Linked DNA regions of Caenorhabditis elegans. The protein of the gene in region 1 purifies or fractionates together with the protein of each later gene. This does not show direct contact. Each region holds a gene or a part of one and is shown in the gene's direction. Other genes may lie near its edges. The genes, in order: nol-14 and art-1.

Region 1 (8,060 bases):
CTCGTAGCGTTGCGAGTAGAGCGTGAAGATCTCACAGATCTCGTGCTTAAGCTCGTCCAGAGTTGTAGGTTCTCCCGAGTTGGAGGTCTGCGTCGGCGCGTCGATTTGCACGAGATGCAAGAAGTGTGGCATCCAGTCCTTGAGATGATCCTCGAAGTATTCCGGAATCTCCTGTGAGCACAGAGAATGGTAGACTTTTGCAATGAGAAGTAAGACTCGGAGCCATTGGGCGATCTCGTCGGCTCCGAGTTGATCCTTCCGCTGTCCCACCTCCATCATGTTCCGTAGCAACAGAGTTAGAGGCTCTTGGGTCTGAAAAATCGGTTCTTTTTATTTGTAACTGAAAAATCTGGGGAGAAAACAGTTTTTCGGTCCAAATTCGAGACTGACATTCAGATTTCTTCAATTTTTTGGCTCAAAAATTTTGAAAATTTGTCCATTTTTATAGGAAAATTATCAATTTTCGCCAAAAATTCCTCATTTTTGCTTTAGTTAAAATTTTTGACTAAAAAATCATAAAATGTTGAATTTTTCACGATTTTTCGGAAAACAAGGCCAGCTTTAGCTAGCTTAAATGTCTAATTTTGGTCATTTTTTAGGGTCAAAGCGGACAAAAATTCAACTTCCGACGGCTGCGACGTAAAAAAGTGGCCAAAATTGGGGATTTTAGCTGAAATTAGCCAAATTTTGAGCCAAAACGCAACTCACGCTCAGTAGACACTTCTTCAGCTCTTTCCAAAGCTCTGCTGACTTGGATTCGAATCGGAATTTGCGGAAAATCTGCTCCATCGACGCCAGCGAGGCCACCAGGTGATTGAGATCCGCTCCGTTCAGGAATTTCGACAAATATGGAACCAAATCTGGCCATTTTTCGGGAAAATCTCTCTGAGCGATGAGATACAGAGCATTGGACAGGATTTCCTGAACATTTGATTTTGTATTGAACATCGCTTCGAGAAGCATGCTTCTGAACTGCTCCTCGTCTTCCTGGCCCATTTCTACCTCTGGTGCCGGGCCCTGAAACAATTTAAATATAAAATTCACGCATTTATTCAAATTTTCCAACCCAATTTCTCTTCACAAAATTTTTCAAAGCGACAGCCGCGGCGATTCGGATCTGCGGAGCAATTTGTTGCTGTTCGTTGACCACCAGTTGAAGAATTTGAATGATATAGCCTGGATTTGATTGCAGCGAGCGGAGCGCTTCTTCTCCACGCTTGCGAATCGCAGCATCCGGCTCCAGAGTCTGCTGGAGAGCTGCTCCGATTTGCTCCATCTGAAAATAGGGAAAAATAGCTGTTTTGGGGGTGAAATAGGGAAGAATTAGGTGAAAGGACAAAGATAGTTTAGCTTAAAACTTGAAATCTAAAATTTCCGGTCAAAATATTAAAGTTTTACGCAATTTTTCGCAGGCCCGCGGGGAATAAACTCGCAAAAATTCGCAAAAATAAAAAAAAAATTTCAAAAGTGTGAAGTGTTTGCGTACAGCGCACCCGACCCGACGCGCAAATTTTTTTCATTATGTTCTCTGTTTTCACTGATTTTTACTGATTTTTCCTAGTTTTCCCTTGATTTTCTTCAAATTTTCCACTTTTTCAGCAAAACGTGCATAAAAAAATAAATTAAAACATTTCAATTTTCAAAACTTTGCAAAATAAAGGCGTCGTTGCGTACAATGCGCACGACTTGACGCGCAAACTTCCCAATTTTTATTCTTAAATTTTCCTGGATACCCCTGGTTTTTTCTCTGTTTCCCCCCTAATTTTTCGCATTTTCAGCAAACATGGGTGTTGATAAAAAGCAAAAGCAACGAAAAACCAATCCATTCGAGCTAAAATTCAACAAATCCAAGCATGACGTGAGTTTTTCAGAGTTTTGAAGAAAAAATCGATTTTCTCGCAGATTCTCGGCCGGAAAAAGGGCGCACAAGTTGGAGCACCGACTGCGTCACGAAAACGAGCTCACGAGCAACGTGAACAGACGCTAGGCGTAGAATATGACCGGAAAAATAAGATTAGCAAAATTGTCGACAAACGGCTCGGCGAAAAGGACGGAAAAAGCGAGGAGGAGAAGGGCGCGATGAGATTCACAGAGGAAAGAGTCAAAAATTATAAAAGAGCATCGAAATTCAACTTGACAGATGATGGAGATGAGGAGGAAGAAGGTTTATTCCGAAATAAATTGAGAAAAATTTTAATAAAGTAAATTTCAGTACTTACTCACAAGGGAAAAGCGCTCTCGGACATTGAAAAATACGACAAATCGATGATTTCCGACTCGGATGACGATGAAGAGCCGGGAAATTTGGGCTCAAATATGGTAAAAGTGGCTCATTTCGGTGGTGGAGAGAAGACCGCCGAGGAGCACGTCCGCGAAAAAATCAGCCGAGAGGATATGATTTCGAATTTGATTGCGAAAACGAAGCTGGCGCGTCACGAGAAGCAACAGCAGAAGGATGAGCTCGAGCTGATGACAGAGTCGTTGGATTCCAAGTATCAGGCTTTGATGGGCAAAATGAAGGCTTCATTTAGGCCGACCGGGCGCCAGCCGCTGGAAAAAGATGATTACGACAAATTGGTACGGGAAACATCCCGGTTTTCTCCAAATTTTTAAGATAAAAGATAATTATAAATTTAGAGTGAAAATCGATTTTTTTCACAATTTTTTAGTGGAAAACCTAAAACCCAAAAAACTTGATCTGAAAATGCTAATTTTTAACCATTTTTGCTATGGAAATTGGAAATTTTCATTAATTTTGCTGTAAAAGTTGAAGAAATCCAAGTTTTAGCTTTGTAATCAGAGAAAACACTGTAAAATTATTTCGGAATTTGTGCAATTTGAAGTGAAAAATAAAACATTTAACTTCTTATCGCGAAAGAAATTGAGCTGAACTGAGAATTTTTTTGACGAAAAATCATTAAAAAGTCAATTTTTTTGACAAAAATTCGAGAAAAGTCGGTTTTTCTTTTGACAAAAATGACGAAAAAGGCAATTTTTAATTTAAAAAAATAAATTTTTCGCCGAAAAATAACTTTAAAAAAGTCGTTTTTTTACAAAATAAAACAATTTAAAATAACTATTTTTCGACAAAAAAATTAAGAAAAAGCCAATTTTTTTGTTTAAAAAATGATAGAAAAAGGCTTTTTTTTTGTTTCTTCGCCTAAAAAATCAAGAAAAATAGGTTTTATTCCATTTTTTATCCAAAAATTATTATTTTTCCAGACAATCACCTTGAAAACCGAAGCCGACGCTCGTGCCACCCCAGCAGATCGTAAGCTATCCGAAGAAGAAGAAGCTCTGAAAGAAAAAGAACGTCTGGAAACTCTCGAGGCCGCCCGTATCTCGAAAAATAATGCATTTTTCAACGCAAAATCTCATTTATCAGCCGATGCCGACGTTGATATCGATGCTGGATCGAAGGCCGACGCCAGAAAAGTTCAGGCGAAAAATTCGAGATTTGAGGTCAAATTTGACGATGAAGGTGGCCTGATCGATGAGGATACGGTGGAAAAATCCAGGATTTTAAAGAAAAATCTGGATGGTTCTGATGAATCTGACGATGACGAGGATCTAGAAGATGAGGAAGAGGATCTGGATGATCTACTGGAAGATGAGGATGAGCTGGAAGAAGATTCCGATGATGAGGAAGCTCAGGAAGCCCAAAAAGTCGTCAAAAAAGCGAAAAAATCTGCTCCAGAACCCGCTGAAACTCTGCCATTCGTATTCGAAATGCCGAAAAACTATAAAAAATTCTGTGCTCTTCTGGAAAAACACTCGGAATCGATGGATTTAGTGCTGGAACGACTCGTGAAATGTCATCATCCGAGCCTTAAAGAAGGAAATAAGAAGCGTCTGAATAAGCTTTTCCTCTTGTGTTTAAGATGGTTTGATGATATGTCGAAGGAGGAATTGACAGCGGAAAGTGTGAAGGAAATGAATTTAGCGCAGGAAACTATGCATGCGTTGATGAAGGTAGCGATTGGATGGAAAAGCTGAAAAATTACCGCACTTTTTAATCTGAAAATTGAAAAAATTCGAGAATTTTTGACCTAAAATTTTGAAAAATTCCCGATTTTTATACCCCAAAAATTGCAAAAAAGTCCCGATTTTTTACCAAAAAATGTTTTAAAATCCCCGAATTTTTTACCTAAAAATTGCAAAAAAGTTTCGATATTTAGACCCAAAAATTGCAAAAAAGTCCCGATATTTTTACCAAAAAATGTTTTATAATCCCCGAATTTTTGACCTAAAAATTGCAAAAAAGTCTCGATTTTTAGACCCAAAAATTGCAAAAAAGTCCCGAATTTTTTACCAAAAAATGTTTTAAAATCCCCGAATTTTTGACCTAAAAATTGCAAAAAAGCCGGTTTTTTTACAAAAAAATGTTTTAAAATCCCCGAATTTTTGACCGAAAAATTGCAAAAAAGTCTCGATTTTTAGACCCAAAAATTGCAAAAAAGTCCCGAATTTTTTACCAAAAAATGTTTTAAAATCCCCGAATTTTTTGACCTAAAAATTGCAATAAATTCCAAAAACTTTGGCCAAAAAATTAAAAAAAATACCCGAATGTTTGACCCAAAAATTGCAAAAAAGCCCCGATTTTTTGAGAAAAATCATGTGAAATTAAAACCTTTTTTTTTTGAAAATCAGTCTCGAAAAAAAAAAGAAAAACCAGGAAAATCATGAAAATTTAAGAAAAAAATCATTAAAAATAGGAAACGATCATGGAAATATTTTTAAAGAAACATTATATAAAAAATCATTAAAATTTCAGAAAAAAAATATGGAAAATCCTGAAAATAAAGAAAATAATATTAAAAATTCAGATTAAAAAACGCAAAAAATTCAACAATTGAAAAAAATTTCAAATTGTTTTTTGCAGTTCGACATTCAATACGGAGTCCGATGTGTGCGTGCTCTAATCCGTCAACACTGGAAAGGCCGCCAGGATAAACAGAAGAGTAGCCCAGTGTCATTTGGATTAATCTCTGCAATTCGTCTTGTTTCCGGCCTCTTCCCAGTTGCCGATTCCTGGCATCCTGTAGTGGTTCCGGCTCTTTTTTTGGCAACTGAAGCACTTTGCTCGGCGAAATGTGCCAATTTGAATGCGTTGGCTAAACAAATTCAATTGGCTAATGCTATTGTTGAATATGTGTCTGAATCCAAGAGGTAATACTTGGAAACGAACATTTAAATAGGCAAATTTTGAAAAAAATACTGAAAGCTTTGATATAAAATAGGAAAAGTAACGAAAAAAAAAGCCAAAACCACCAAAAATATTATTTTCAAAAGCTAACTCAAAAAATTTAAAATTCAGAATTGTCGCTTAAAAAAATCTATTTTTTTCGATATCGAAAAAAGATTACTATAAAAATTCAAAAAAGCAATTTTTTAAAATATAACTTGATTTTTTTTTCTGAAGTTCATTTTTTAACAAATAATTGCATTAATTTTCCATTTTAATGTTAAAAAAAAGCGAATTTTTCAAAAATTGATATAAATTTTGTTTTGGCAATTTTTAGATCAGAAAACATTGAAAAAATACAAAAATCCCGTTTTTTTTTAAATTAATTTTTTAGAAAAAATTGCAATTTTTCAAAAATCTTCCGGTCATTTCTCTATTTTTAAAAAATCTCTCGTCTCTTTTAAAAAAATTTAAAAAACCGAATTATCGAAGCGTATCAAAATTTTGAAATTAAAAAAAAAACCGAACTCCATTTTTACGAAAAATCCGAAAGTTGAAAATTGTTTTCAATAAAATAAATTTCAGATACGTCCCCGAGCTGGTCGCATTTGCTCGAAGTGCTCTTCTGCTTGCAGTTACAGAGAAAAGTGAGAAATTCGCGACAAATGGATTCCCGATTTCCAAGCCACACACGGAAATGTTATGCTTTGAGGAGAAGGTAAATTTATAAAATTTGTTTTTTTGAGCAAAAAATTGGTTTTTTTTTTTGGTTTTCTCTTTAAAAAAATTTGCTTAAAAACGCTCAATATTTAAAAAAAAAACTGGCAAAATCGAATTTTATAATATAAATTAAAAATTTTGTTCAAATAAAAATGATTTTTTTTTGAAAATTTAGTTTTGAAAAATTTAAAATTAAATTTTAAATTTTCACAAAATTGCCAATGATAAAATGTTCACTTTTTCTTGTATAAAACTGCTTGAAATTTTTTAAAAGCAATTTTCCGAAAAATAATTTTTTAATAGATTTCTGAAAAACCGAAAAACCACCGATTGAAAAACGAAAATCAAGTTTTTTTCCGAATTTTCTATTTTTAACAAATTAAATATCAATTTTGCACATACAAAACGGTTAAAAAAAAACAAAAAAAATTGCCGAGAGCCAAAAAAATTTAAGTTTCAGCGATTTTGAAATTTTTTTTTTAGGAAACACGGTCTCCTCGGGTGGAAACGAAGGGGGAGGGAGATTGCTTGCGCGTTTCACCGATGCGCCTTTCGCGTGCTGGCGCACTTCTGAATATTGAATTATTTTTGCGGAAAAAATTCATTTCTTCTATGAAATTTTCTTGAGAAAGCAAAGGAAAGATGATGAAATGAATTTTTAAAATAGTTTTCTCAGTTAAAAAGAGAATACCTTGCTGCAAAAGGTTAAATTTATTGAAAAATTGAGAAAATAAGAAGTTTATCTTTGTTTTCACTACATAAAGTGGGGAAATCTCAAAAAAATTTGAAGACAATTAAGAAATATAATTAAATATATAGCCTGAAAGTCAAATAAGAAATGAAGGTTTGGTCACAAACAATTTTATTTTTGAATTGAAGTTTTGAGAAATGATCATGTGCCAGAATCACTAAATCTGAGACATTCAGCCCAATTTCTTTAATTTTCTGTGATTTTATCATGGAAGTGTGGCTTTTTCTGTGATCTTGCCAGTTTTAACAAGTTGAAATTGGAAAATCGTGAAGTGGGAAACTAGCAGTGAAGCTTCCAAAAATTTCAAGCCTTACTGAAAGGAAAGTATTGGAAACTAAAAACGAAAGCTTAAGAAGATACCGTTTTTATATATTTGAGTTTTGAAAAGCCTTAATAGGTTTTAAATACAGTTTTCTCAAGAATTCAAACTTGTAACGATTAAGTTGAGGCACAGAATAAGATGGTAATACTAAGTTATGTTGAAAAAAGCCAAGAAAGACTGAAAACATTGCTTTCAATCTGATTTTTTGTAAGTAATGTAATGTTGAAACATTATTCTTCATAGTTCAGCACTTTGTATGGCTTATTTGAGCCCAAACGTACAGTAGTATGTGGCAAGAAATAAAATATTGTGCCAACAAAATTGGAGCCGAAAAACCCATGATAAAATGTTTAATACGTGTATTGCTCTAATAAAATACCAAATATTAATTAGATTCACTGTCTCGACTCTTTTTAATTCAGATTAATAACTTTTAGCTCCTCTTTTTAACGAAAAATTATAACTGGATTTCACAAAAAGAGTTCGATCTGAGTTCTTTCAACAGGTACATAGACGAATTATATCTTAAAATGACGAGAAAAGTTTGCTCTATAAACGTTATCATTGCAGGTTATGAGAAAAACAAATAAAAATTTAATTTTAAAAAATCCGAAAATTCAGTTGTTATTTTCAAACAGTTCGTTATGCATTTCCACCGAACGGTTTCCGATAATTTTTGTTTCTCCACTTTCGGTTCAGTCTACTTTATAATTGTTATCATTTTGAAATAGAAAAATCGACGAAAAACTAATAAAAATCGAGGGAAATCACTCTTCAACGGTGAAATCTCGGTGGACGCAATGAAGCTGCAGCATTTCAAAAAAATTTTAGAAGCAATTTTGGTCATTTCAGCTTCAAAAAGCTTTAAAACTTAAAAAAATTAAAATTCATTTCAAAAAATTTGAAATTAGTCATTTAAAATATAAAAATTAGAAAAATTCTAATTTTCAGCGAATTTTCAAATTTATTTTTATTTCAGAAAAATTCAAATTTTGGCTTTCAAAAAAGCTTACAAAATATTAATTTTTAAAAAATCTAACTTTCCCAATTTTTCAGTACACTGGCCCCGCACTCCAGCCAAT
Region 2 (3,927 bases), on another chromosome or scaffold:
AGAAACGATTCTCCACTCCCGGTTTTCTTCCGATTCTCAAAATTAATTAAAATTTAGTTATTAAAAATCCTTTTTCTTGAAATAATCGTTCAATTTCGAGTTTTCAAGAGTGGAGACGTTGAATTTGTGAGCCGCTTATTTTTTCTGTGTTTTTGTTTTGTGGTTTTTAATCAGTGTCATAATCATACTTTCCATTGTTTCTTTATTATTCAAAGTTGTAGATTCAGTATTTTAGATCGGTGATGTTTATGAATCTTCTCACTCAGGTCTCCAACGCGATTTTTCCGCAGGTCAGTGCTTATCCGAAACATTCGTCATTCGCAACTTGGGCCTATTTGATCTATGGCGTTGTGTTGTTGCCTTTACCTTAATTATCATCATTTTCATCAGAAACCCACAAAAACTAGAGACATAGCTACAAAATTCTGCGACCGAGAGGCGGGTACACACACAATGTTGTCTATTTCATCTCGCTCCACCTTCTCTCTCTCTCTCTCGTGTTTACCATTTCTTTTTTAATTTTGCATCTATCGACTGTGATCTGCCTGTTTTTTTCTAATTCTAAACTTTTTGCCGTGATATTCCTTAGAGTGTTCCCTAGAAAATTCGTTGAATTTACAGGTCGAAGCCGCTCAAAAAATGTCGAACCGTGCTGTCGCTGTTCTTCGTGGAGAAACTGTTACCGGTACTATCTGGATCACACAGGTTAGCCGAGTTTTCCGCTTAAATCATTTGTATTCTTTTTCAGAAGTCCGAAAATGACCAGGCAGTTATTGAAGGAGAAATCAAGGGACTTACTCCCGGTCTTCATGGATTCCACGTTCACCAATATGGTGATTCCACCAACGGATGCATTTCTGCCGGTCCACACTTCAATCCATTTGGAAAGACTCATGGTGGACCAAAAGTATGGAAATTTTTTATATCGCTTGAATTATAATATTTTTTCAGTCCGAGATCCGTCACGTAGGCGATCTAGGAAATGTGGAAGCTGGAGCCGATGGAGTGGCAAAAATCAAGCTCACCGACACGCTCGTCACGCTTTACGGTCCAAACACTGTCGTTGGCCGATCTATGGTTGTTCATGCCGGACAAGACGACCTCGGTATGAACAATTCGAATTAAAAATCAATTTAGTAAACTTTCCAGGCGAGGGAGTCGGAGACAAGGCAGAAGAGTCCAAGAAGACTGGAAACGCCGGAGCTCGTGCTGCCTGCGGTGTCATTGCTCTCGCTGCTCCCCAGTGACTACCTGAATCGCGTCTCTGAATCTCCACACAATTCCTACTAAAGACAATTTTTCATTTCTTGCTTTGTCGTTATATTCTTAAGAATCCCGTTGTTCCTACTCCTACTACTGTATATTTTCACATAAAATTTCTTCAAAATTTCAAATAAAGGTTGTAGTTTCCAATTTCTATGTTTTACAAATCTCAATGTCTCTGCTCATTATATCAATACTTCACTTTTCAGTTTTGTTACCAAACTGCCATAAATGTTGTGCCAGCCGTTAAACTATCAACAAGTTCTGACGGAGAAGGGCGATTTTTCGAGCAGTTGAATAAGAATCACCTGATAATGAGGCTATTTCAAAAAACGTTTAAATATTATCGCTTTTCCCTTATTTAAGGCAGACAAAAATCTTTGAAAATATAATAATTTCTATTTTTTAATGCATTTAGTAAATTTTATTTCGAGGTCGTTCGTTTCAATTGGCATTTTCACAATGCTTCTCTTCTTTTTTTATCAGTTCAATTGATAGCGACCCGTAAAAGAAAATCACACCATTTTTATAATAGTGGACTGCAAAAAATTCGTTTCTTTCTGAATAGAGCCAGTTTTTGTGAAAATTCCTTTTTTTCAGTTTATATAAAACCTCAATTTTCAGAATGAGTGGGATTCTGGAGGTTTATGACGCAAAGCGTACGGACAATCTCATCATCACCCTCGAGGGAATTTCTGGATCCGAAACGATCAAAGCTATCAAGAAGCGAATTGCCCAGAAAAGTTTGTGAATCGAAATTTATGATTTATTAGCTAAATAATTTCAGAGCTGAAACTCACCGAAGAACGTCAGGCTCTCCGTGTCGAACCAAAGGGTAAACCATTGGCTGATGACCAAAAACTCTCCGATCTTGGACTTTCATCTCAAAAAGCAGTTTTATATGTAAGAGATCTCGGACCACAAATCGCCTGGAAGACTGTCTTCATGGCTGAGTATGCTGGACCTTTGTTCGTTTATCCGCTTTTCTATCTTCGACCAACTTTCATTTATGGACAAGGTGAGCCGGATTAATATTATTTCACACAATATCTTACATTACAGCCGCTGTCAATGCTACCATGCATCCAGCAGTACAAATCGCCTTCTTTGCATGGAGCTTCCACTACGCCAAGAGATTGTTCGAAACTCAATTCATCCATAGATTCGGAAACTCGACTATGCCACAGTTCAATTTAGTCAAGGCATGTTTCAAAAATAAAAATAAAAACAATTGAGTAAAAAGTAATAAGGGACACTAATAGTAAGTTGCAAAAGTTGCGTTGATGAAAAAATTATTTTACGCTCTACGGCAATTTTCAATCTGAAATATAGCAACAAAAAAAAACTAGTAAAAACGTTGAATATGCCTAAAATTCAAAGTTAGAATATTTCGTACAACTTTAGGTAGTTTTAGTAGAGAATTTTGAAACGGACAAGATTAAAAATAAAATTCACTAATCGATAAACAAATTTCTATTTCCTGAATTTTCAGAACTGCTCCTATTACTGGGGATTCGCTGCCTTCGTCGCCTACTTTGTCAATCACCCACTTTTCACACCACCAGCTTTCGGAGATCTTCAGGTTTATTTCGGACTTGCCGGTTTCGTGATTTCGGAGTTTGGAAATCTCTCGATCCACATTCTTCTCCGCAACCTCCGTCCAGCTGGAACCCGCGAACGTCGTATTCCAAAGCCTGATGGAAATCCACTTTCTCTCCTCTTCAACTACGTTTCGTGCCCGAACTACACATATGAGGTCGCATCATGGATCTTCTTCTCCATTATGGTCCAATCTCTTCCAGGTAAATAAAAAACTTGTAAATATAATTGATTTTATTCATAATCTTAAAATTTAGCAATCATCTTCACCACCGCTGGATTCGCTCAAATGGCAATCTGGGCCCAAGGAAAGCACCGCAACTACCTCAAGGAGTTCCCAGATTACCCAAAAAATCGCAAGGCCATCGTTCCATTTGTTCTCTAAATTATCGCATTTGCGCCGAATATTTATTGTATTTTTCATGTACTCTTGCAGTTCTATTATTACCAATCCGCTTATTTCAATCAGTAATTTATTAAATAGACAATTTCTCCAGATAAATGTTTGCTTGAAAAATGTTGCAAGTCTTGGTTGGTGAAAAAAAAGCGTTAATAAAAGAGAAAAAATGTTTAAATAAAAATAACGTGATATTGTTTTTTACATCGAAAATTTAAAATGTTCCCGACTTCAATGTAGAAAGAAGATTATTTCGAAATATTTCAAGTTATCCAAAGATGTCAATTTGGTGTGCAGTTTGCAATGATTTAAAACCATGTGAAGAAGCAACTCAAGTGAGATTATTGCATTATTCTCAGCCATACGGATTCAAATTTTCCAGTTGATTCCCTGTTTGCACACATTCTGCACAAAATGCCTCAAAAAATCAACCAAAAAGATGCGTGTCTGTCCAGTTGCACATTGTTACTCGAGTCTTACAGCTCCTGAACCAATGACAAGCACTTGCGAAGTTAGTAATTACAAAGATTCGAACTTTTATGACTTTTCCGCCAAAGATACGGTCTCGAAACGGCAATTTCGTTAATTTCAAGTTGGTGCGCGTCTTTGAAGGGTACTGTAGTCTTGTGAACTCTCGTTGCCACGGAATTTGAATCGAAATATTTTTC

What was found.
Region 2: the proteins of nol-14 (region 1) and art-1 fractionate together in Caenorhabditis elegans (co-fractionation; one large-scale study listed by BioGRID). This does not show direct contact.

Annotation. Positions count from the first base shown.
Region 1 is NC_003279.8:322,077-330,136, forward strand, and holds the start of nol-14 (Nucleolar protein 14), read left to right. Parts: upstream 1-1,778; 5' UTR 1,779-1,783; coding exon 1,784-1,858; intron 1,859-1,902; coding exon 1,903-2,164; intron 2,165-2,212; coding exon 2,213-2,577; intron 2,578-3,222; coding exon 3,223-3,972; intron 3,973-4,882; coding exon 4,883-5,169; intron 5,170-5,770; coding exon 5,771-5,903; intron 5,904-8,034; coding exon 8,035-8,060. Other genes in the region: xpo-2 (Exportin-2), read right to left, coding at 1-312, 709-1,017, 1,067-1,276.
Region 2 is NC_003280.10:6,970,196-6,974,122, reverse strand, and holds art-1 (putative very-long-chain enoyl-CoA reductase art-1), read left to right. Parts: upstream 1-1,887; 5' UTR 1,888-1,888; coding exon 1,889-2,006; intron 2,007-2,050; coding exon 2,051-2,281; intron 2,282-2,325; coding exon 2,326-2,465; intron 2,466-2,755; coding exon 2,756-3,065; intron 3,066-3,119; coding exon 3,120-3,247; 3' UTR 3,248-3,378; downstream 3,379-3,927. Other genes in the region: sod-1 (Superoxide dismutase [Cu-Zn]), read left to right, coding at 243-290, 622-705, 749-907, 952-1,105, 1,150-1,247; C15F1.5 (RING-type domain-containing protein), read left to right, coding at 3,538-3,594, 3,642-3,770. UniProt on the Caenorhabditis elegans protein: Catalyzes the last of the four reactions of the long-chain fatty acids elongation cycle. This endoplasmic reticulum-bound enzymatic process, allows the addition of 2 carbons to the chain of long- and very long-chain fatty acids/VLCFAs per cycle.